Linked DNA regions of Sus scrofa. The protein of the gene in region 2 interacts with the protein of the main gene of each other region in a pairwise test. Links are inferred from orthologs where the notes say so. Each region holds a gene or a part of one and is shown on either strand. Other genes may lie near its edges.

The links.
Region 1: the proteins of PSMA1 (region 2) and HOMER3 interact in binary tests that used the Homo sapiens proteins (3 or more experiments, as listed by UniProt). The two-hybrid records come from large-scale screens. The link is inferred for Sus scrofa from reciprocal best matches to the Homo sapiens genes PSMA1 and HOMER3.
Region 3: the proteins of PSMA1 (region 2) and TRIM10 interact in binary tests that used the Homo sapiens proteins (3 or more experiments, as listed by UniProt). The two-hybrid records come from large-scale screens. The link is inferred for Sus scrofa from reciprocal best matches to the Homo sapiens genes PSMA1 and TRIM10.
Region 4: the proteins of PSMA1 (region 2) and HSD17B14 interact in binary tests that used the Homo sapiens proteins (3 or more experiments, as listed by UniProt). The two-hybrid records come from large-scale screens. The link is inferred for Sus scrofa from reciprocal best matches to the Homo sapiens genes PSMA1 and HSD17B14.

What each region holds. Positions count from the first base shown.
Region 1 is NC_010444.4:58,911,693-58,917,461, reverse strand, and holds the start of HOMER3 (homer protein homolog 3), read right to left. Parts: upstream 3,514-5,769; 5' UTR 3,306-3,513; intron 2,778-3,305; exon of another isoform or gene 2,641-2,777; intron 1,788-2,640; exon of another isoform or gene 1,744-1,787; 5' UTR 1,680-1,743; coding exon 1,666-1,679; intron 1,578-1,665; coding exon 1,421-1,577; exon of another isoform or gene 1,368-1,420; intron 1,162-1,367; coding exon 1,030-1,161; intron 1-1,029. UniProt on the Homo sapiens protein: Postsynaptic density scaffolding protein. Binds and cross-links cytoplasmic regions of GRM1, GRM5, ITPR1, DNM3, RYR1, RYR2, SHANK1 and SHANK3.
Region 2 is NC_010444.4:44,738,058-44,743,754, forward strand, and holds the start of PSMA1 (proteasome subunit alpha type-1), read left to right. Parts: upstream 1-2,044; 5' UTR 2,045-2,178; coding exon 2,179-2,181; intron 2,182-3,962; coding exon 3,963-4,007; intron 4,008-4,566; coding exon 4,567-4,668; intron 4,669-5,054; coding exon 5,055-5,158; intron 5,159-5,697. UniProt on the Homo sapiens protein: Component of the 20S core proteasome complex involved in the proteolytic degradation of most intracellular proteins. This complex plays numerous essential roles within the cell by associating with different regulatory particles.
Region 3 is NC_010449.5:22,724,198-22,729,343, forward strand, and holds part of TRIM10 (tripartite motif-containing protein 10), read right to left. Parts: 5' UTR 4,521-5,146; coding exon 4,089-4,520; intron 1,407-4,088; coding exon 1,311-1,406; intron 739-1,310; coding exon 508-738; intron 1-507. UniProt on the Homo sapiens protein: E3 ligase that plays an essential role in the differentiation and survival of terminal erythroid cells. May directly bind to PTEN and promote its ubiquitination, resulting in its proteasomal degradation and activation of hypertrophic signaling.
Region 4 is NC_010448.4:54,140,878-54,146,790, forward strand, and holds the start of HSD17B14 (17-beta-hydroxysteroid dehydrogenase 14), read right to left. Parts: upstream 3,267-5,913; 5' UTR 3,094-3,266; intron 2,734-3,093; 5' UTR 2,656-2,733; coding exon 2,568-2,655; intron 2,045-2,567; coding exon 2,006-2,044; intron 1,813-2,005; coding exon 1,730-1,812; intron 1,193-1,729; coding exon 1,111-1,192; intron 1-1,110. UniProt on the Homo sapiens protein: Catalyzes the NAD(+)-dependent oxidation of L-fucose, yielding L-fucono-1,5-lactone, which rapidly converts spontaneously to L-fucone-1,4-lactone. Can also act on D-arabinose and L-galactose, with lower catalytic efficiency. Does not use NADPH.

The DNA.
Region 1 (5,769 bases), about 14 Mb from region 2:
TATATATTTTTTTTTATTTCAAAATAAATTTCCTTAGTTTGAAAAAAAAAGGGGTTTTTTTTGGTTAAGCCCATAGCATATAGAAGTTAACGGGCCAGGGATTGAACCTGAACCCTAGTATCCATTAAGATGAGAGTTCGATCCCTGGCCTTGCTCAGTGGGTTAAGGATCCGGCATTGCCATGAGCTGTGGTGTACTTTGCAGATGAGGCTTGGATCTGGCATTGCTGTGGCGTAGGCTGGCAGCTGCACTCTGATTCGACCCCTAGCCTGGAACTTCCATATGTCACAGGTGGGGCCATTAAAGAAAAGAAAAAGAAAAGAAAGGAAAACAAATGCTTCTAGAAGAAAAGTCTCATGAGCTCAACAGGACTCAGAGAACACTAACCATTCAGGGAAACAATGGGTAAGACAATACTGAACAGGGAGGAGTTCCCATTGGGGCGCAGTGGTTAAAAAATCTGACTAGGAACCATGAGGTTGCAGGTTCGATCCCTGGCCTTACTCAGTGGGTTAAGGATCTGGCATTGCAGTGAGCTGTGGTGTAGGTCACAGACACGGCTTGGATCTTAAGTTGCTGTGGCTGTGACGTAGGCCAGTGGCTACAGCTCCCATTAGACCCCTAGCCTGGGAACCTCCACATGCCACGGGAGTGGCCCTAGAAAAGGCAAAAAGACAAAAAAAAAAAAAAAGAGATAATACTGAACCCTAGAACAGCTGAGGGTAGAGGAAGTTGATAATGAAGGTAGTGCTAGCGTGTGTGGGGAGGAAGCACATCCCAGGCATCCAGGGAGGGGCAGGTGCTTCTGAAATCAGAGCAGGCAGGCAACAGAGCTGGGATGTGAACCAGGGAAGTGGGAAGGGGCCACTGGCTTGTCTAATTCTGTTTTCTTTCTGCTTGTCCAATTCTGTATGCCCATTCTGCAGCTGGAAAAATGGAGGCCCAGCCATCTGTCCAGGGTCCCCCAGCACCCAAGAGAAGACCCATCCCTAGCCCCGTTCCTCCCACCATGTACCCCCACAGGCCCACCTGTGTCAGATGCTGTTCAGAAGCAAAGCCAAGGCCATAGACAGTGTTGGCGCGACTGTCTGCCCACTGCCCGAACTTCTGGGAGGTTTTGGTAAAGGTCATGTTGGGGGTGACAGTGCTATTGATGATGGCCTGGGGGGGAGGGTAAGCAAAGTTCATGGTTGATGGGAACTGGTAATAATGAACATGAACCCCTTCCCCGGGGGGTATCACTTTGTATTAGCACCTCAGAGGTCTTTGGCCATTTCAAGAGGAAGATTGAGGCCCAGAAAGACTCAGGGCACCCCCCCACCACCCCGTGCTCCCAAAGCACACAGCAAAGCAGCAACTGAACCCACCCCTGTCACTGGGATCCTTGGCACCTGGCACCCCACCCAGGCCCCACCAGGACCTTGGCACCCCCAAGGCTGATGATTCGGTAGACATTGCGGGTGGCATCGTAGAAGTAGGAGACAGTGAGTGCATGTTTGCCCGCAGGGATCCAGTTCCGCTTAGTGGCCGGGTCGATCTGGAACACATGCGCCCGAGTGCTGAAGATGGGCTGCTCCCTGGTGGGGAGAGGGTGCTCAGTGGAGGCCAGGCAATGCCCCCCATCTCAGAAGACTAAGGGTCAAGCTGGTAGAGGCAGAGGCTCACCTGGCTGTGGACATTGGTCAGGCTGGTCTGTGGGCTCCAAGGGGCAGCCAGAAGAATGGTAGGAGCTGCTGGTTTGGCCTTTGCGGGGAGAAGGGGGGCCTGTGAGTGTCCCCCAGGCCAGGCTGAGGGAGGCCAAGCATGTCCAACATCAGGACCCACCACCAGGTTCACTATTCACAGAGCTTCAAGCTCAAAGTTCTCAGCAAAAAGACCCCAACTCTCCCCATCTAGAAGAAGCCCTTGCAACACCCTGGGCAGGAGACTACCTCTGATAGGAGCCAAGTGGCTCCTACCAGCATAAACCTCTCATCTTCTTGGTTATTAGACCCCCAGTGAAGTCTTCTTAATCTCTGGGTTGGGCTGAGGAGGCCAAGGCCAACTCCTGTGTAGTACTTCCTGACACATTCATCCATCACTCCCAAAGCAGAGCCTCCATCAAAAAGTGGGGCATTGGCAGGTGCCTACTGGTAAACCAGTCCCCTTCTGGACCCACAAAGAGACCCCTCAGCTTCCACCTTAGGGCAGAGGCACACCTCAGAGTCAAAGCCCCCAGGGAGCCCTCAGCCTAGTTAAAAAAACAAGATGTGGCTAAACAGGTTCAAGGTGGTGGCCTCCAATCACCACTCAGTCCGCATCACCTCTCACCACTTAATCTGAACACCCTGGGGTTGGGGGGGGAGTCCTAGGGGAGGACCTGGGGGAAGGGGGAGGCAAACTAAGGGAAGAGAGGCCCCGACCCAGCAGCCTCCATGGTCAGAGGGGGAATGCCCCCCTCCTCTGTCCTGGGCAGCTGCTGTCCCGGTCACAGGGTCTGAAACCGGAGCCCCTGGGTGGGGGAGGGGCAGCGACTTTGGCCAGGGTTGGGGCTAGGTCCCGGGTTGAGCCAGGGTTCCGGGCGCAGGGGGTCCCAGAAACTCGGGCCTCCCTGCCCGGATGCTCCTGCAGCGATTCTAGGCGTTGGGGAAAGTTACTCACCAACTAGTCATGCGCCTCGGACGCCGCTGCTGCCGGCAGCGGGGCTCCCAAAGGGGGGCCTGACCCCGCCCGGTGTACTGGATCCACAATCGCGTGAGGGGGCGAAGCCCCACCCCAGGAACCCCAGCCCAGGGGATCTGAGGAGATACTCGCTCAGAATCGAATCCCCACCCGTCAGAAGCGGGGTGCCCCATGTGCGCCCCAAATGCAGGAAGTGCCATCCCGGACCTTGGTATTTCCAAGATCCCTGCTACGCCTCCCCCCCTCCCCCTGACTCCGGATCCAGAACTTCGGGGACGTGTTATCTACCTCCTGCAACTACAGGTCCAGAACTTAGGGGATCCTCCCCGCTGTCCCTGGCTCTTGAACTTCGGGGACCCCTGCCACCCTTCCATCCCCAGGTCTGGAATTTCGGCGTCCCCTCGCGCCTCCCCTCCACCTTAGGTCCGGAATTTGGGGAACCCGGCGTACTGTGCCCTCCTCGACCCCGACTCCGGAACTTCGGGGTTCCTGTGCCCTCTCAAGCCCTGGAACTTCGGGGCTCCCTGATCCGCCCCCAGCCTCCGTATTCGGAACTTCGAGGACCCCCGAGCCCTGTCCCCAGTCCCAGAACTTCGCGCCCCCAACCCCCTGCACCCAGTGCAGGCTCAGCTATCCAGGCTCACCCTGACGGCTCGGCGCCCCGCAAATGTCCGGGCGCGAGACGGGTGCGGCCCCACGGCGCCGACTCCCCGAAGCCGGGCGCCCCGCTCGCTCGCTGGCTCCGGGGCCCGCGCCCTCCTCGCCGCCCGCCGCACCGCCCGCGCCTTTGTCTGCGCCGCCGCCGCCGCCCGCGCCGCCTCCGGTCCCATCGCGGCCGGTCCCGACGCGGCCGCCGCCCGCCCCGCCTCCCCGGGCGGCCGAGGCCGTCCCGCAGCGCCCCCTGCCGGCCCTCCGCGGCGAGGGGGAGAGGGAGGGGTGGGAGCAGGGAGGAAGTGGGGAGGATTGTGGACGGGATATTAAGATGGGTACAGAAGGGGACAGGGGATGCAGTGGAGACAGAGACCCAGACCCAGAGACAGAGAGATGGAGGAGGGAGTCAGAGACAGGCCTAGGTGGACAGAATAGAATGTGGCCTCATCCTTTGTTCAAGAGTGAGCCGGACCCTCCCCATCACTGCTGCTTTTGCCTGTGATGGGGGGTCAAGTCCCTCTTCACCTGATGGGAATCCAGAGGCAGCGCACATCTGACGCCTTGTGGGTCCAGGCGTCTGCACACGGTAGGAGCTCAGTGCGTGTTTCTAGAAAACCAAAGAGACTTGGGCGGAGAGGGGCCTAGAAGAAGGTGAGAGAGAGGCAAACAGTAGGCACTTAAGGGGCTTGATACAGGATGCCCTGCTCAGAATCCCTGCCTGCTTTCCCATCCCACCCTGATCCCCCCAAACAACTGTAACAATGCTAGTGAGGGGAGTTCCTGTTGTGGCTCACCCCAAACAAACCCAACTAGTACCCAGGAGGATGTGGGTTCCATCCCTGGCCTCGCTCAGTGGGTAAAAAGATCTGGTGTTTCTGTGAGCTGTGGTGTAAGTCTCAGATGGGCCTAGATCTCAGGTTGCTGTGGCTGTGGTGAAGGCCTGCAGCTGCAGCTCTGATTCAACCCCGAGCCTGGGAACCTCCATGTGCTGTGGGTCAGGTGTGGCCCTAAAAAAAAAAAAAGAAGAAGAAAAGAAAGAAAAAGAAATGCTAGTGAGGTTGGGTTAGGATTATTGTTGCTGTGTTATAGGGTCCAAAGACTGAGGTGGAAGGAACATCATTGTCCAGGTCCCACCAAATGAGAAAATTGCCTGGAGGCCCACAGGCCTGCATTTGCCACCTCTGGTCAGAGGGAAGCCACCCCTTCATACGCTTGCTGGGAGAGGGTCCTTCTGGAACTGAGTTCAGTCTCCCCTGATCCGAGCCTGCCTGTGGGGCCCCCTTGTCAATCCTATTATCTGCCCTTTCCCTGGAGACTCCTCCCTCCAAAGTCACACAGTGCCACCGAGTTCTTGGACAGAGCACTGAGGCTCCTCAGAACCTGCACTTCCCTGAAGCTTGGAGACTCACTTGTGAGCTTTCTCAAACCTCAGAAGTGTTTGCCATTTTTTTTTCCCCTGTCTTTTTAGGGCTGAACCTAAGGAATATGAAAGTTCCCAGGCTAGGGGTCCAATCAGAACCATAGTCAACACCAGATCAGAGCCACATCTGTGATCTATGTCGCAGCTTGTGGCAACGAGGGATCCTTAACCCACTGAGCAATGCCTGGGATTGAACCCACATCCTCATGGATACTAGTTGGGTTCTTAACCTGCTGAGCCACAACAGAAACTCCTCCTTTTCTTGTTCTAGTATATTTGTCTGCCCCCATCCCCACCCCAACAAGAATTGCACAGCTGAGCTGGTAGCTCCCTTCAAATTACCTTTAGGTGAATTCCAGTTTGTATAATTTCTAGAAACTTATTCCCAGGCCAAGATCTGAGGTTTCCTCCTTCCAGGCCAGAAGGTGGGCAAACCCAAGCTGTTTCTTCCACATGGAATGCCCTTCTTGAAGGTACATATTTTGTTTTGCCCTTTCAGGCTCAGCTCCACTGCCCCTTTGCCTCCTTTCCAGGAGGCTCCTCTGACTATCCTGGGCTTGGAAGAGATCTTGCTCGCCTCTGTTCCACCACCCCAGCCTTTTCTGAGGGATCCCTGATTTATTTATTGGTTTGACAGTAGCCAGGGCAGGCCCATCCTGGAGCCCCAGCCTCGAGCCCCAGCCTTACTCAGCGTGAGAGGGACTGCTCATCCCCGCTAGAGAAAGGGAGCCGCAGACTCAGTTTCCCCAGCTGCCTCTAACTTCACACGGCATCTGAATAAGCAAAGGATTTGGCTTCGCTCTCAGGCCCGAAGCCACAAAATGCTTGAACACTGTAAGGAACAAAGAAAATACCGTCTGTTCTGTGCAAAGAGTGACTTTTCCTTATTACCACACACACATACAAAAAAAGTAACTAGAAAGGTGCCAGCAGGGCCGAGGCTTCTGGAAGATGCTTGGCATGTGCCGAGTGCTGGCTGGCTGTTGATCTGGGGCCCTGAGGCCATTCTAGGGGTGTGGCCAGGCAAGGAGCTTGGC
Region 2 (5,697 bases):
CTGTAAAGCAGAAATTAACACAACATTGTAAATCAACTATACTTCAAAAAACATTTAAATTATATGTATTATACATATGTGCGAGGCATGTGAATATATAGATATGTGGAAAAGAACTGTCAAAATGTTTATATACTATATAATATATATATATATTTTTTTCTTTTTCAGCCACACCCACAGCATAAGTTCCCAGGCCAGGGACTGAATCCAAGCACTAGCTGCAACCTACATCACAGCTGCAGCAATGCTGGATCCTTAACCCACTGTGCCACAGTGGGAATTTCCCTACGTAATATTTTTAAATGATCATTTATTTAGTCATTCATCTAATATTCATTACTCATTCATTTAACTATATATTAAACTCTTAATACATGCTAGGCATCCTGCTGGGTGCTGGGAAAACAGAAGAGAACAATCAGTTAATTTAGTCCACTAAAATAACAGTAATTTTGAAAAATGACAACAATCAGTATTGGTGAATTTAAGAAGGGGAGCTCTCTCATATACTACTGTTGAGAATATGTTTTGGTAAAATATTTCCGGAAAGCAATTTAGCACTTTTGGTTTTGTTTGTTTTTTTTTGGCTGTGCCTGCATACAGAAGTTCATGGGCCAGGGACTGAACCTGTGCCACAGCAGTAACCAGAAAACTTTAGGTCCCTAACCTGCTGAGCCACCAGGGAACTCCTTTTTTTGTTTGTTTGTTTGGTTTTTGTAACACTTTTAATAAAATTCTTAGAAATAGCCATTTCACTAAATCCTTTGATTTTCAGGAATTTATTCTAAAGGAGTATAGATGTACACATAAAAAAATATATCAAGCAGCTCATAAATGAATTTCTTGGGAGAGGGATAATTTTGGTTTTTTTTAGGGCTGCACCTGTGGCATATGGAAGTTCCCAGGCTAGGGGTCCAGCCGGAGCTGCAGCTGCGGGACTATAGCGCAGCTCTCAATAACGCCAAATCCTTAACCCACTGAGAAGGCCAAGGATCTAACCCGCATCCTCACGAGGACAATGTGGATCCTTAACCCCCTGAGCCAGACAGGGAGCTCCAGGAGAGGGCTTAAATATTAAACTTAAATATTAAACAATGGGGGTTTCGGTAAATAAAATATCATATGTTCACAATGCAGAATATCGGGAATCTTGTTTAACCTAGAAAAATTTTAATATAAAAAAGTGTCCAAAATACATGTGACAAGGTTTTTAAAGTGCGATACCAACTTGCTCTAACTTGAACAAATCATTTAAGGGAGCTGAGTCTCTTCATTGACAAAGCTTAGATCCTTAAAGACCCCTTTCAACTCTTACCTGAGTCTAGGTACTCATCCTTTCTTCTTCGTAAAGAAAAGAACTCATCATTGGCAGTCAGTAAATTTTAGGTTGGCAGCTGTTTGTAGAGCTATCCTAAACTATTTTCTCTGAGAATTTACTAAAAGATGTTCGCAAAAAGGAAAATACCTATTTCGGAAGAAGATGTCCCTCAGTTGCCTATTCTTTCAGGCATCGTGCTTGGTTTTGACGGCAAAGACATTAATGCCCTCAAAAAGTTTAAAGTCTGATAATAATGATAGTGATCAGTGACAACAACGCCTGGAAAATAAGGAGTAAGGAAAAGGATTCCAAAGTAGAAAGAAAATCATGTCCAGAAACAAGATACTCCAGGAAGAGTACCGTTGACACGAAGAAATGGACCATTATTTGTGGTCTTTTTTTGCAGTCCTGTTCTTCTCGCTACCCAACACCACAAATCTCTGTGGACGCTGAATGAGAGGCTGAGCAGTACACCAGGAATCTCGGGTGCATCCGGCCGGGCCGGTGAGAAACTGACAGGAATCTACAGCTCACAGGTAACTTCTCTGAGGATCCAAGAAAGGCGACTTGATAGTGGCCACCCAGCGACTATTAGCTCCCGCGGGCGTTCCTGGCCCAAATTTTCCCGCCAATGTGAGTTTCTCAGATTTCCCAGGCCCCGCCCACTCCCGAGCGGGCGGAGAGCTTTGAGGGCGGGGAAGCGCCGGAAGCCTATCGCTATCTCTAGAATAGACTGCTCTACCCTGCGCCGACGCATAGTCCCGCAGACTTCTCTGCAGATCGCCGAGCGGTAGTTTCGGCAGCGCTCCTTGATCTGCAGGTTTACCGGAGGCCGTGACTAGGCTCTCGCCGGAACCATGGTGCGTTGGATTCCGAGCTCAAACAGGGTTGGGGCACAGGCCCGCTGGCTGGGGGTTGGCGAGTGATCTCTCTGTCACTCTTAGAGCGGGCCGGGGCTATGGGACATGGGAACCTCAGCCGATGGGGGGTTCTGGAGTGATTCAGCATCTCTGGCCTGGCCGGCACAGGGGAAGTCGGTAGTCGGTGCGGCCTTTCCCCTGGGTTTGTTTCGCTTTCCATCCGGCCTTGAACAATACCTCCTCGGTCTGCTAGCCGAGTTCGCCCCTCAGTTTCCTTCAGTCGAGTAGATTCCGAGCGGTCCAGAGGGGCCCCTAGTGCTCTGTGTGAGAGAAAGGAAAAATTGGGATTTGACTTTTGGAATCTCCCTGTATAGCCAATAGCAGAGTTGAGAGCTCAATTCTCTTTTAGAGCTCAATCAGAAAAGGCCTTTTTTCAGTCACTTATCCAGTTAAGTATTTTTATGAAAGAGTAAACTGAAGCTGATAGAAGTGATAGAATAAGGGTTACAATATAGGGCTCAGAGCTTCCAGTCCTATGTCTACCATTCCAGCAGTCAGCCTTCTCACCCTAATGATTGGGCTCCCAAGTACTGTGCTGGCAGACTCATTTTAAGCTGTCTTTAAAGCTGTAATGGGTCCGTCTCTGTGGCTATTTGTGTCCACTTCTGACTTTCTGGGGACATTCTTGTGTGTACTCATTCTATAACAATGTTTTAAATGCACTGTTTTAACTACAGTGAAGGTTCAAAGATAAATCAGACACGTCCCTAATCGTAATATAAGGTCGAAAAAAAAGGTGTAGATAAAGGAATGGTAGGAGTATGTGTTGGGATTTGGGGAGGAAAGATGGAGAAGGCTTCAAGAGGTAGACATTTGAGGTATTTAAGGAAAAGGAATGCTTTTTTTTTTTTTTTTTTTTTTTGTCTTTTTGCATTTTCTAGGGCGGAATCCGCGGCATGTGGAGGTTCCCAGGCCAGGGGTCTAATCTAATCGGAGCTGTAGCCCCGGTCTACGCTAGAGCCACAGCAACGCAGGATCCGAGCCTCGTCTGCGACCTACACCACAACTCACAGAGGCGCCAGATCCTTATCCCACTGAGCAAGGCCAGGAATGGAACCCGCAACCTCATGGTTCCTAGTTGGATTCGTTAACAACTGAGCCACGACAGGCACTCCAAGGAAAAGGAATGCTTTTGATCGTATTAGGTCTTGGTATCAGGGAAGAGAATAAGCCAAAGATAGAAAGGAGAGTGGACACATAGGAACTTTAGTAATTGACTGAACTCAAAGGCAGTGCAATGGACAGTGGTAGAATTGGAATTTGGGAAGATAGGTCCCATCTGGCTCTGCTCTCCCCTCCCTCACAAGCTCCTTGTAAATGTAAAATTGGCTTGCAACTAAGTACAGTAGAAATCTTCCAATGAGGTTGCAGTAACAACCTTTCATTAATGTTGGATGGAAATAGACTAGAAAATTATTATTATTATTATTTTCTTTTTTTTTGCTTTTTAGGGCTGCACCCAAGGCATATGGAAGTTCCATAGGGGTCCAGTCAGAGCAGCAGCTGGAATCTGACCTATGCCACAGCTCATGTCAATGCCAGATCCTTAATCCATTGAGCAAGGCCAGGAATCAAACCCTTGTCCTGATGGATACTCGTTGGGTTTGTTACCAATGAGCCACGATGGGAACTCCAGAAAACATTTTTGAGTGATAGAGCTTGTTAAGATTTGGGTTTTGTAATGTTCTTGTATTAACAGATTTTTTTTCATTTACTTTCAGTTTCGCAACCAGTATGACAATGATGTCACTGTTTGGAGCCCTCAGGTAAAATGTTTTATACTGTTTCTACAAAGTTGCTTTTGGTGGCTGCAACTTAAAAATGTTTTGGATAGTATGCTGTGAGAAAATATAATCATTTTAGACATTCCTGTAAGTTTCCTAGTTTTAAAGAACATCGTTTGAGGTTTAGCTATTCTTACCTGAAATTTGGGATCTCTGAGTTAATTTTTTTTCTGCATTTGATCATATGGGGATATTTATGTCATTTTTAAAAAATATAATTGTTTAAAAATATAGTTGTTTTACAACGTTGTACTAATTTCTGCAGTACAGCAAAGTGACCCAATCATCCATATATATATATACACATTCTTTTTCTTGTATTACTTCCATTGTGTTCTGTCCCAAGAGGTTGGATATAGTTTCCTGTGCTATATAGTAGGATGTCATTGCTTATCCATTCTAAATGTAACAGTTTGCATCTACTAACCCCACACTCCCAGTCCATCCTACTCCCTCCCCCGTCCCCTCTAAGTTAATTTTAAATCCATGAAAGGGTCTTGTACAATGACTCTAAGGTGTATTGGGTTTTTTTCCTTTTTAGGGCAGGATTCATCAAATTGAATATGCAATGGAAGCCGTCAAACAAGGTTCAGCAACAGTTGGTCTGAAATCAAAAACCCATGCAGTGCTGGTTGCATTGAAGGTAAGTAAAGCAATAAATATATCTTCCTCTTTTAAAAAAGAGCTACTGGGAGTTCCCATTGTGGCTCAGCGGTAACAAATCCAACTAGTATCTATGAGGATGTGGGTTCGATCCCTAGCCTCACTTAGTGGGTCAAGGATCCGGCATTGCTGTGAGCTGAGGTGTAGGTCACAGACACAACTAGGATCCTTTGATGCTGTGGCTGTGGTGTAGGCCAGCAGCTGCAGCTCCAATTCAGCCCCTAGCATGGAACTTCTATATGCTGCAGGTGTGGCCCTAAAAAGCAAAACAAAAAACAACAAAAAACCCAACTATCAAATGTAAGTCTCACTATGTAGATAATAAATTATAAACTTGTTTTTCTGTCTTAAATAATGTCTATTTAGAGGGCACAATCAGAACTTGCAGCTCATCAGAAAAAAATCCTCCATGTTGATAACCATATCGGTATCTCAATTGCGGGACTTACTGCCGATGCTAGACTGTTATGGTGAGTATGATCATGAAAAACAAAGGAAACATCTCTTGATTCATAATTGATTATATTCTAGAAAAGATCCAGATGTTTTACAGGTATTCTATTCTGCCAGAATGTTTAGAAGATTGTGTATACCTTAGTGAAGTTGGGCTCAGTTACTCAGTATCCCATTTCTTGATCCTCTGTGTAGTAACTAATAGAATTAGCCATACTAATATTAATGCCTTTGAGAAGTCATTCAATGATGTGATACTTGTTAACTCAGTGTATAGTGTTTGATATTATGTCTGAGAAGAGCTTGACACTTTTGTTGGGTTTGCGAGGATCAGATGAACCACCTTTGCTTTCTCTAATACACCAGTATTTATTTGATGTTTATTTTTTGCAAAGCTCAGTACTGGATGCTGCAGGGTGTAAAAAGTGAATGAGATATAGATCTCATCTTCTAGGAAATTAGAATCAGTTCTATGTCTAATACACAGAAGAAAGTGGAGAGTAACAGGTATACTTCTGTATGGGACCAGATAGAGATTATTTCTATTTGAGAGGCA
Region 3 (5,146 bases), on a different chromosome or scaffold from region 2:
TCCCATCCCAAGGTCTCCTGCCTCTCAGTGCCGAGTGTGTCCCCCAAATCATGCTGCCTTCCCAATGCCTTTTTGGGACCCCAGTACCTCTCCTCCGGTTCCAGGAAGTGAGATGGACCAGGAAGAACTTCCTGACTAGCAGGTGGTGACACAGAAAATAGTTTGCCTTTGAAATAGCACCTGACATTTGTTTGCATAGGGCTTGATGCTTTTCAAAGTGCCACCTTCCCTTTTACTGCTGGATCCTCACAAATAAGCAAAGTATGGGTGAGGTAAACAAACAACCTCTCTTCCCTGTATGATGGATGGTGGGGTGAAGATACCAAGCCCAGGGACCAAAGTGACCGGGGAGCTCTTGGGGACGCAAGGACTCTTTGAATTCAGAATTTGGGTCCTGTGACCCATCTTCCACTTGGGATACAGAGATGTGCGCGTGCAGGAGAGATGGCTTAGATGGGCAAAGATGCCAAAAATCATAGGTGAGCGGGGGCAGAGCTCAGATCTCACCGTCAGGAGGTCCCTTGCCGGCCTCTGGTTCTTCTCCTCCAATTCTTCGATCAGGGTGTTAAACCGGCAGATTTCCCCAGCGACTAGGACATCAAACTCGTCCCGGTGCTTCAGGATGTCCCCATCCAGCCTCTCCAACTGGGCTAAGAGGACGCTCTGCTGTTCCTCCAGGAACTGGCTCAGATGTGCAAACTCAGAAATCACCTTTTGTTTCTTAGTGGCCACCTGAGTCTGAGGGGACAGGAGGAGAGGCTAGAAAGTCATTCCTCCTCTTCCTCTACTTGCTTTTCTTTCTTTTTCCTTAATTCACACCCATCCCCCCTGGCCCAGATCCACATCCCCCAAGGTTTTGTGGTAAAGTCAGAACCCCCCTCTCTGGGTCCCCAGAGAGATTTGGAACACCGGCATGGTTTCCCTTCCACCTTCCATGCCATTTCCAGGAGCTAAACTGCCCAGCATCACCTTGGCACCTTCTGCCAGCTGCTAAAAGGGCGAGGGTCACAGGAGGCATGGAGGAGGCGGGGAGGACACTGGCCTCTTGCCTCTTACAAGATGCATACTGTGTGCTCAGCACTAGACTGCATTACAATCCTGATAGCCATCCAGCAGGTAGTGACCATCTTTAATCGCCACAGAAAAATGAACAGGATAGAGGATTGCTTGAGGTCTAGAGCTAGTTAGTTTCCCAGCCAGGATTTGAACTCAGAATGCCTTCAAAGCCCTCTATGCTATGTTGCCTTGGTTTCAGAGTGACCCCAGACCCTGAGGAAGAGAAGAGGACCAGGGAGGGGGTGATGACCTACCAGGAGGACTTGTATCCTTTGGTTTTCTCTTAACTGGATTCTTTGAATCTCTTCTCCCTCTTTTCTTAGACACTCAAGACACTTCTGTATTTGTTCCTGGAGAGAAGGAGCATAAACTACTTAAGATGAGGGAGAGGGGGATACATTGGGATTTGGGGATTAGTAGACACCAACCACTATATATAAAACAGATAAACAACAACAGCCTATGGTATAGCACAGGGAGCTAGATTCAGTATCTGGTAATAAGCTATAATGGAAAAGAATCTGAAAAAGGTTTTACACATATGTGTATTTCTCTATGTGTGTGTGTGTAACTGAATCACTTTGCTGTACACTGGAAAACAACACAACTTTGTAAATCAACTATACTTCAATTTAATTGGTTTTTTTTTTTTTTTTTTTGGTCTTTTCAGGGCCGCATCCGTGACACATGGAGGTTCCCAGGCTAGGGGTCAAATTGAAGCTGTAGCTGCTGGCCTACACCACAGCCACAGCAATGCCAGATCCGAACCGTGTCCGTGAACTATACCACAGTTCATGGCAGCGTTGGATCCATAACCCACTGAGCAAGGCGAGGGATTGAGCCTGTGTCCTCATGGATCCTAGTCAGATTCGTTTCCGCTGAGCACAACAGGAACTCCTAATTTTATTTTAATTTTTAAGATAGAAACAATGACTTAAGATGTATCATCTCTGCCTCCAGGAATGGAATGACCCAAGAGATTAAGTCACTCCCTTAGCTGACAATGCCTGGGTCATCATTGTCCTTGACAGCTTACTCTCTTTGAGTCTTTGCTTGCTTCGTCTGCCAAGAATTTTCCCCTTTATCTTGTGCCATCAGAGGCTATGACTCATATTCCCACTTGAGCCTTAATCTCTTCGAGATAAACACCCTAATTTCTTTTGCCTTTAGAAAGTGATATCCAGTAGTTCCCTCGTGGCTCAGTGGTTAACGAATCCCGACTAGGAACCATGAGGTTGCTTGGATCCTGAGTTGCTGTGGCTCTGGTGTAGGCCGGCAGCTATAGCTCCGATTAGACCCCTAGACTGGGAACCTCCATATGACACAGGAAGTGGCCCTAGACAAGGCAAAAAAAAAAAAAAAAAGAGCTAGGAACCATGAGGTTGCAGGTTCGGTCCCTGCCCTTGCTCAGTGGGTTAACGATCCGGCGTTGCCGTGAGCTGTGGTGTAGGTTGCAGACGCGGCTCGGATCCCGTTGCTGTGGCTCTGGCGTAGGCCGGTGGCTATAGCTCCGATTCAACCCCTAGCCTGGGAACCTCCATATGCCTCGGGAGCGGCCCAAGAAATAGCAACAACAACAACAACAACAATAACAACAACAACAACAACAACAACAAGTCAAAAAAAAAAAAAAAAAGTGGTATCTGGGATCTGCCCTGAGCTTGCTAGGCCCGTCTTTGAAACTATCCCAACTTTCCCACATGTCCCAAAAGGAACACATCCAAACCGCCTCTTCTGTGAGTAGAATCAACTTTCTAGGTATGATTCTTTTTTTTTTTTGTCTTTGCTATTTCTTTGGGCCGCTCCTGCGGCATATGGAGGTTCCCAGGCTAGGGGTCGAATCGGAGCTGTAGCCACCGGCCTACGCCAGAGCCACAGCAACGAGGGATCCGAGCCGCGTCTGCAAACCTACACCACAGCTCACAGCAACGCCAGATCGTTAACCCACTGAGCAAGGGCAGGGATTGAACCCGCAACCTCATGGTTCCTAGTCGGATTCGTTAACCACTGCGCCACGACGGGAACTCCCTCTAGGTATGATTCTGAAGGGAAGAGAATCTTGAATAGTGCAAAAATAATCAATGAATTTTTAAAAAATTGTTCACTTTAGAATAGAGTTAGGAACAGGTGTACACACATAAATGTCCATATAAGTACGTTTCAAAATATATTCAGAATTCTCACCATTAAATGCTAATTAAGTAATTGACACACAGACACCTGCTCATGGAGTCCCCATCATGGCTCAGTGGAAACAAATCTAACCAGCATCTATGAGGATGCAGGTTCAATCCCTGGCCTCACTCAGTGGGTTAAGGATCCAGCATTGCCTTGAGCTGTGGTGTAGTTCGCAGATGTGGCTCAGATCTGGTGTTGTTGTGGCTGTGGTGTAGGCCAGCGGCTACAGCTCCGATTCAACCCCTAGCTTGGGAACCTCCATATGCCTCAGGCACAGCCCTAAAAAAAAAAAGACAAAAGAGAAAAAAAAAAAAAAAAAAGACAGACACCTGCTTGTACTAAACACAATGCATAAACAACTAAAACCAGCATATACTCATTTCACGACAGAGAAAGTTACACACCACATATGCTTACTCAACCTGCATATATGTAAACCCCAATTGACTCACAAAATGCGAGCACTGTTACACATGCACACTCGAAGAGTCAGATCTCCCCCAAACACTCCACACACAGTGATAAACGTGCACCCATGAATACCTGCACACCGTGTTTGTGCATCATACTTGACTAATCCAAGGCCCAGACGCACACACTCATGTTTGGGTGACTCATTCATCCAACGTGTATTTACTGAGCTACTCTGATGTCCTGGCCATAAATAAACAACCTAGGACGTCCTGCAAACACAAGCTCTCCCACCCAAGCTCTATCGCCTGGGTGATGATAGTAGATTGCATTTCTTTTCAGAGTGGCTCAAATAATCCACACCTCTGCTCTGATGCTCTTAGTCCGGTCCGATGGCAGTCCCCTCCCCCACCCCCGGAACCCCTCCGTGTTCCCTCTCCTACCCGGTAGGGCCCCGCTGCATCCTCCAGGAAGCGCACGGTGTGGTGGCGGTGCTCCCAGGCCTCCCGGCACACCACGCACAACTGCATTTCATCGTCCTCGCAGAAATAGTAGACCTTCTCCCTGTGCTCCAGACAGACGTCCTCCTCCTCCTCCAAGCCCAGCTGGGACCCCAGCTTGAGCCGCTCGATGTTCTCCACCACGCTGGCCAGCTGCCAGTTGGGCCGGAAGCTCCCTGGGCGGAAAGGCTCCTTGCAGAGCGGGCAGGTGGGGAGCTCCCCCGGATCCAGGCAGGGGATCTCAAGGTAGCGGGTGAGACAGACGCAGCAGAAGTTGTGGCCACAGTCGATGGTGACTGGCTCCCTCAGTGTCCCTTGACAGATGGGGCAGTTGACCTCATCAGCCAGGCTGCTCACGGAGGCAGCTGAGGCCATGGTGTTCCTGGGCTTGGGGCCTCTTCAAGGTCACCCTCTCTGCTTGGCTCGAGGCGTGCGGGGGACTGGGAGATCAATGAGGACAGGCACCACACACTCACACACCCACACACGCACTCGGCCAGACACAGAGACCTCTTACATACCCACTGACACCCTCGTGGTCACACACACACACGTGTGCACAAAGGCAAGACAGCCACTTGCATCTCCGGCAGCCAGGGTTCTGCTGTCCCCCTCCCACAGGAACAGACACACACCTTCCTCCAGCAGAGACAGAGAAATAGCAGAGGAGGCAGGAGAAGGGGTCACAGCATCCCAGAGATGACCTCAGTTTCTCTCCGGACCAGCCCACGACCTGCGAGTTGCTGTTCTTCCTGTCTAGCCAGAGACATTCGCAGCAGAAGGAAAGCGATCGTATCTTAACCATCCACAGTTGGAAGAGACTGTTCTTCTTTGGGGAGCAGGAGGGAGACTGGGTCACAGAGCAGGGATGCCACCCCCGCCTCCCTGCAATAGGACCAGCTGTCTCCAGGGAGATTGGCGGTATCAGCCGACCCAGGGGAGTATGGGGACCCTGATAAGGGCGTCCTGCCTGGGGTGGGGACAAGGCACAAGCCTCTTTG
Region 4 (5,913 bases), on a different chromosome or scaffold from region 2:
AATAATGAAGATGAAAGATAGCTGTCTTTTTTTTTTATCTGTTTCCTTTCTCTAGAACATGAATCCCACGAGGACAGAAATGCCTCGTCTGTTTTGTTTACCGCTACATCCCCAGTCCCTAGGAAAGAACATGGGCATAGCGGATGCTCAGTAAACATCTATTGAAAGGCCAAAGGACATAGAGAGAATGGATGAACTAGTACCTGCCATCTCTTTATATCTTGACAAGAGAAGGAAACTGCAGCCCGGAGAGGGTAAATCAATTTGCTCAAAGTTGTCCAGCCAGTAAGAAAGGCATCTTTCCATCACAGCCTTGCTGTGTGACCTTAGTCCAATCAGTTCACCTCGCTGAGCCTCGCTTTACCAATGTGAGGCATTCTTATAAAGGGTAGTCATGAAACAGATGACAATTTCCCTTCAAAGCCTCCACACCAAGACCTGTAAGCCCTGGGCCAAGCGTACTTGTTCACAGTCACAGAAAAAAAGAGCCATCCGCCTCACTTTAAAGAAACTGAGGTTGGAGTTCCCTGGTGGCTCAGCAGACTAAGGACCTGGCATTATTGCTGCTGTGGCGCAGATTCAATCCCTGACCCTGGAACTTCTGCATGCCATGGCCAAAACCAAACCAAACCAAACCAAAACGGAGGCTGCAAGATGGACGCTGTCTGCCCAAGACAGTTAGGGTGATTAGGGGGCTGAGCAGTGACACAATTTTTTTTTTTTTTAGGGCCGCACTCGTGGCATATGGAGGTTCCCAGGCTAGGGGTCGAATCGGAGCTACAGCCTCTGGCCTACATCACAGCCACAGCAATACGGGATCCGAGCCGTATCTGCACCACAGCTCACAGCCAGATCCTTAACCCACTGAGCAAGGCCAGGGACTGAACCCGCAACCTCATGGTTCCTAGTCAGGTTCATTTCCTCTGCACCATGACGGGAACTCCGCCCAGTTACACTATTTAATACTCTCAACACCCTGTAATGGCAAGGACAGTGGTGGTCATTGTCATTTTAGAAATGTAGAAACTGAGGCATAAAGAGGTGGCGGCACAGGCCTGGGGACACAGAGCAGCAATGGGACAGAGCCCGGGAAGCGGGTTGACAACTCACGGGAGCCGGCGTTGTTGACCACACAGTCCAGGCGGCCGAAGCGGCGGATGGTCTCAGAAAGAGGGTCTGAGGAGAAAGCTGTCTTGTGAGTGAACAGCATTGGCGCCCCTGCTGGGCTCCCCCAAGTGAGACGTGGCAGAAGCGGAGTCACCGCGGAGGGGACAGGACATTGTGGGGGCCGACCCCAAATCGCCAGGCATGGCAGGAGATGAGGAGACTGGACGCCAGGGTGCCAGAGACCAGAGGGCTGGTGACACACACCCTGAGCTCACTACTCCAGAGACCCAGGAGGGTGGGGGATGGGGGAGCAGATGAAGGGAAGGGGAGAAACCCTGGGAGAAGGAGAACTCTTACTGGATCCAGATCATGTGACAGGAGGGACCAGGGGCCTTGAAGGCCTGGGAGATAGAGGAGAATCTTCTCGGCAGACACAGGACGTGGCCAGCCGAGTTAGGAAAGCTTTGCGATGAAACTGAGCTGAGACTCTGGGGGCAGGTGTCATTTAGCCAGGAGATGGGGAAGGGTAGAGGGAATAGCATGTGCAAAGCCCGGGGTGAAGGGAGAGAGAGAACGATTGGAGATTGAGGGGGACGGGGAGGGACAGAAACTACGCGCTCACCTTCACATCATCCTCTTGAGTCACGTCACAGAGGACAAAGACAGACCCAGGCAGCTCCTGCTCCAGGGTCCGACCAGTGGACTCTGCAGGAAGAGAAGGGCTGGGGGCTGGAGCCTGGGTCTCAGAGAGGAGGGGCTGGGGGCCCAGGATCCTGGGTCTGAGGGAGGAGGGCTGGGGCTGGATCCTGGGTCTGAGGGAGGAGGGTGCTGGGGCCTGTATTCTTCTTGAATCTAAGGGAGGAGGCAGTGGGCTGAGGACTGGGGGACCCTCACTCACCGTCTTTGTCACAGATCACCACCTGGGCGCCACTTTCCACTGCGAATAGACAGGGAATAGGTTAGCCCTGCAGAGACCTTGGTGAAGATCTCTGCTGCCCTCTGTGGCCACCCGGAACAGGGCCGTTCCCCCCCCACCACCGCCCCAGCTCTGTTCCCCTCGTGACCCCAAAGTCTCATGATGATCCCGTAGGGCAAAAGGCAGAAGCCTAGCCTTCTCCTTGGCTATTCCAGGTGACTTCTGGGGCTCCTGAGTCTCCATCCCTGGGTTCTAGAGTAAACCCTAAACCTCCAAAAGACATATTCCTTCAACCACCACCCCCGGCCCCCCATTCTGTAGCAATAGCTGAGACCCAGAGAAAGGGAGTCAATGGCATTTGAAAATCCGCCGCAATCTCAGGCCCCAGGCCACCTCTGCCTTCCCTTCGTTAACTTTGCAAATTGGATTTTACGAGACAAGAATCTAGATTCCAGTACAGAAGATACTTCGTCCCACACCCATTAGCCCCCGGGTCCCTCCGCTCCCAGACTCCACTGTTCAGAGCCGACCAGACCCCACTCACCGAAGGCTCGGACGATCCCAGCTCCGATGCCGCGCCCGCCCCCCGTCACGATTACCACCTTCCCGGCATAGCGCGTTCCCGTTGCCATCCCGCGTCAGAAGGTCTCCTTCGGCCACTCACTCACACTCACTCGAGGCTTCTATCCCCCTCTGAAGTCCGGTGAGGTCTTGGGGTCGAACCATAAATAGGGGCTGGATCCTGAAGCCCGGCCCCGGGGGCGTTGCCAGGAAAGCCAGAAGCCTGGAACTTGGCCCCAGCCCCCTCCTCCCTCAGACCCAGGAGGCCGGTCCCCCAACCCTCAAACTCGGGATTCCTGGAGTCCGGCCCCCTCTGCCGGACCTTGGACTCCAAAGTCCAGGTCCCGGGTCCTCTCTTCCTTCAGACCCAGGAATCCAGGTCGCCGGCCCCCTCCTCCCTCAGACTCAGTAATCCAGACCTCGAGCTCCCCCCGTTCCTCTGACACACAAAGCTGAGTCCGCTGTCCCCTCCTCCCGCGGGACCCAGGAGTTCACCACTCCAGCTCTACCTCTTCGAGACACCGGTGTCACAACTCCAAACAGACAGAAAGTTATCGACTAAGAGTTCAATGTTTTAATCCAAATTTGGACAAGTATTGGGAAAATCAAACTTTGGCCAAAGTAGCCACTCCTCGGCCACCGGGAGGGGACCAGATCACGCCCTCAGGTGAGGGAAGAGGCTCCATCTGTCCCGGAAGTACCTCCGGGACACGCCCTCCAGCTCTGATTGGCTGCCCTGCTTGGGCGGGTCAGAAGCTGGACTGTAGCAGCGTGACTCTCAGAGGCCACGCCTCCTCGTCTGGGGTTAGCGCGGGAGGGGCGGTCCCGGAATCCCAGGTCGGCTCCCAAGAGGCCGGGCCTGCGTCGCGCCCAGTCCCTCGGTGGGAGAACCCCGTGGAGTGGGAACTGGCCACTGGAGGAGATCTTGGGGGCGAGGACACGCAGGGCGTGGGATCTGACGGAGGTGGCGACGCAGGGGGAAGAGGGTCTCCTCGAGAGTCCAAACTGCCACCTGGAGAGGACGGACGGAGAACGAGAATGGCAAACTTTGGGACCCAGAAGTCCCGACACCCAGGACTTTCCTCTCAAACCTAGGAGTCCAGGCTCCCCGTCCTCTCCTCCCCAGACACGGCAGTCCTGGGATCCAGTCCCCTCCTACTGGGGTCTGGAACCCCCAAGCCCTGTCCAGCTCTTTCTTTACCAAGGCAGAGGGTTTCTGGCGGTCGTCGGACCCCCCTCCCCACCAGGACCTAGGATTCCGGGCCTCCAGACTCCCTCTTCCCTAACACCCAGGAGCCCAAGGTCCCCAGCCCATTCTCACCTGTCATCATTCGGTGCCACTGTGACGCCTCAGCAGCCAAGGCTTGAGAGAGGCTGAGAACTCGCTCCCGGTGACCCTCAGATGTTGGTAAATAAGGGGTCGTGTTCCTCGGACTAGAAAAAAGAAGATGCAGGGGTGGCCTTGAATAATTTGCCTGTAAGGTGAGGACCACGGTGCAGAGCGTGTCCTTCTGGGAGTTGTAGTCCCTAGCATATGGCTCTAAAGGATTTTGAACAGGGCGAGACCCTCTTTTTAAGTCTGCGTGCATTATGGGATCTGTAGTCCAATTGCCCGAAAACTTCCCGACAGAGGAGCAGAGTTTGACAGCAACGGTGGAACCGCTGTGAACTAGGGCTTTCTCATTCCCCAGGAATTCAAGCGTCTCTGAAATGTTCTGCCATCCATACCCTGGTACTCAAGAGTACTCAGGAGACATTAATACTTAATGCTACTCCTCACCCTTTTGTTGACTTTCTTGCTTCTAGTTTGGATCTCCAATTCCTTACCTGCTCCAGGACCCAGAGCTTCTGAGCCATTTCTGGCTCCTGAGTGTCCCAGGGCAGGCTGCAAAGGAATTGGAGCATTAGAATTCCTCCCCCAGGAAGCCCTCACGTCCTCATTTTGAGGATGAAGTGAAGGAGCTTAGCGAAGAGAGAAAATTGCCCCCCCCCAAACATGGCAAATGTCTTTTTTTTTTTTTTTTTGTCTTTTTTGTCTTTTGTCTTTTTGTTGTTGTTGTTGTTGTTGTTGCTATTTCTTGGGCCGCTCCCGCGGCATATGGAGGTTCCCAGGCTAGGGGTTGAATCAGAGCTGTAGCCACCGGCCTACGCCAGAGCCACAGCCACGCGGGATCCGAGCCGCGTCTGCAACCTACACCACAGCTCACGGCAACGCCGGATCGTTAACCCACTGAGCAAGGGCAGGGACCGAACCCACAACCTCATGGTTCCTAGTCGGATTCGTTAACCACTGCGCCACGATGGGAACTCCGCAAATGTCATTTTTATGTAAGATCCTTTGTCTGGAAAATGTCTATGACTGTACCTTCGACTTCTAACAGACAGGACAATTCTCAGCTTTTTTTTTTTTTTTTTTAATGGCCACACCCACAGCATATGGAAGTTCTCAGGCTAGGGATCAAATGGGAGCTGCAGCTGCCAGTCTATGCCACAGCCACAGCAATGCCAGATCTAAACCGAATCTGCAACCCACACTGCAGCTTGTGGCCAGGCCAGATTCCCCAATCCACTGAACGAGGCCAGGGCTCAAATCACATCCTCACGGACACTATGTCAGGTTCTTAACCCGCTGAGCCACGACAGGAACTCATCTCAGAGCTTTCTGAGAGTCTATCTCCCAGGTAATAATCCTGCTGGGCTCCAAAAAAATTCCCCTTTTTTTCTTGTTAACTTGACTTTATTAGGATTTTCATGGAGAGACTCACAGATGGCTGCCCTCCTTGTTTGTCTGTAACAAGGCCAGAAACAGACCTTCCAAATTCACATTCCTTTTGTCGTAAATGATTAGCTGAACTCTCTGTCCCCCCAAACTAGCTAGACATAGAGATAAATGCTTGTTCAGCTGACTGAGATGCGCTTTAAACAATCCCCACCATAAAAATGATAAAATCACCCCACCTATGACTTGTCTAATTTCTCCCGAGAAAAGTTTATGATGAAACCATCTTGCCCAGACACCCTGATCTTCAGACCTGGAGGGTTCTCCCCCTGGTAACCGTGTGAATAAAATTGATTTCCTGGAGTTCCCACTGTGGCTCAACAGGTTAATGACCCAGTTTGTCTTCGTGGAGGCGCCGGTTTGATCCCCAGCCCAGGGCAGTGGGTTAAGGATGTGGCATTGCTGCAGCTGTGGTGTAGGTCACAGCTCTGGCTCAGATTTGACCCATGGACCAGAGACTACCAAAAAAGAAAGAAAAAAAAATCAATTTCCTGGAGTTCCCTGGTGGCTCAGCAGGTTAAGGATCCCTCATTGTCACTGCCATGGCGTG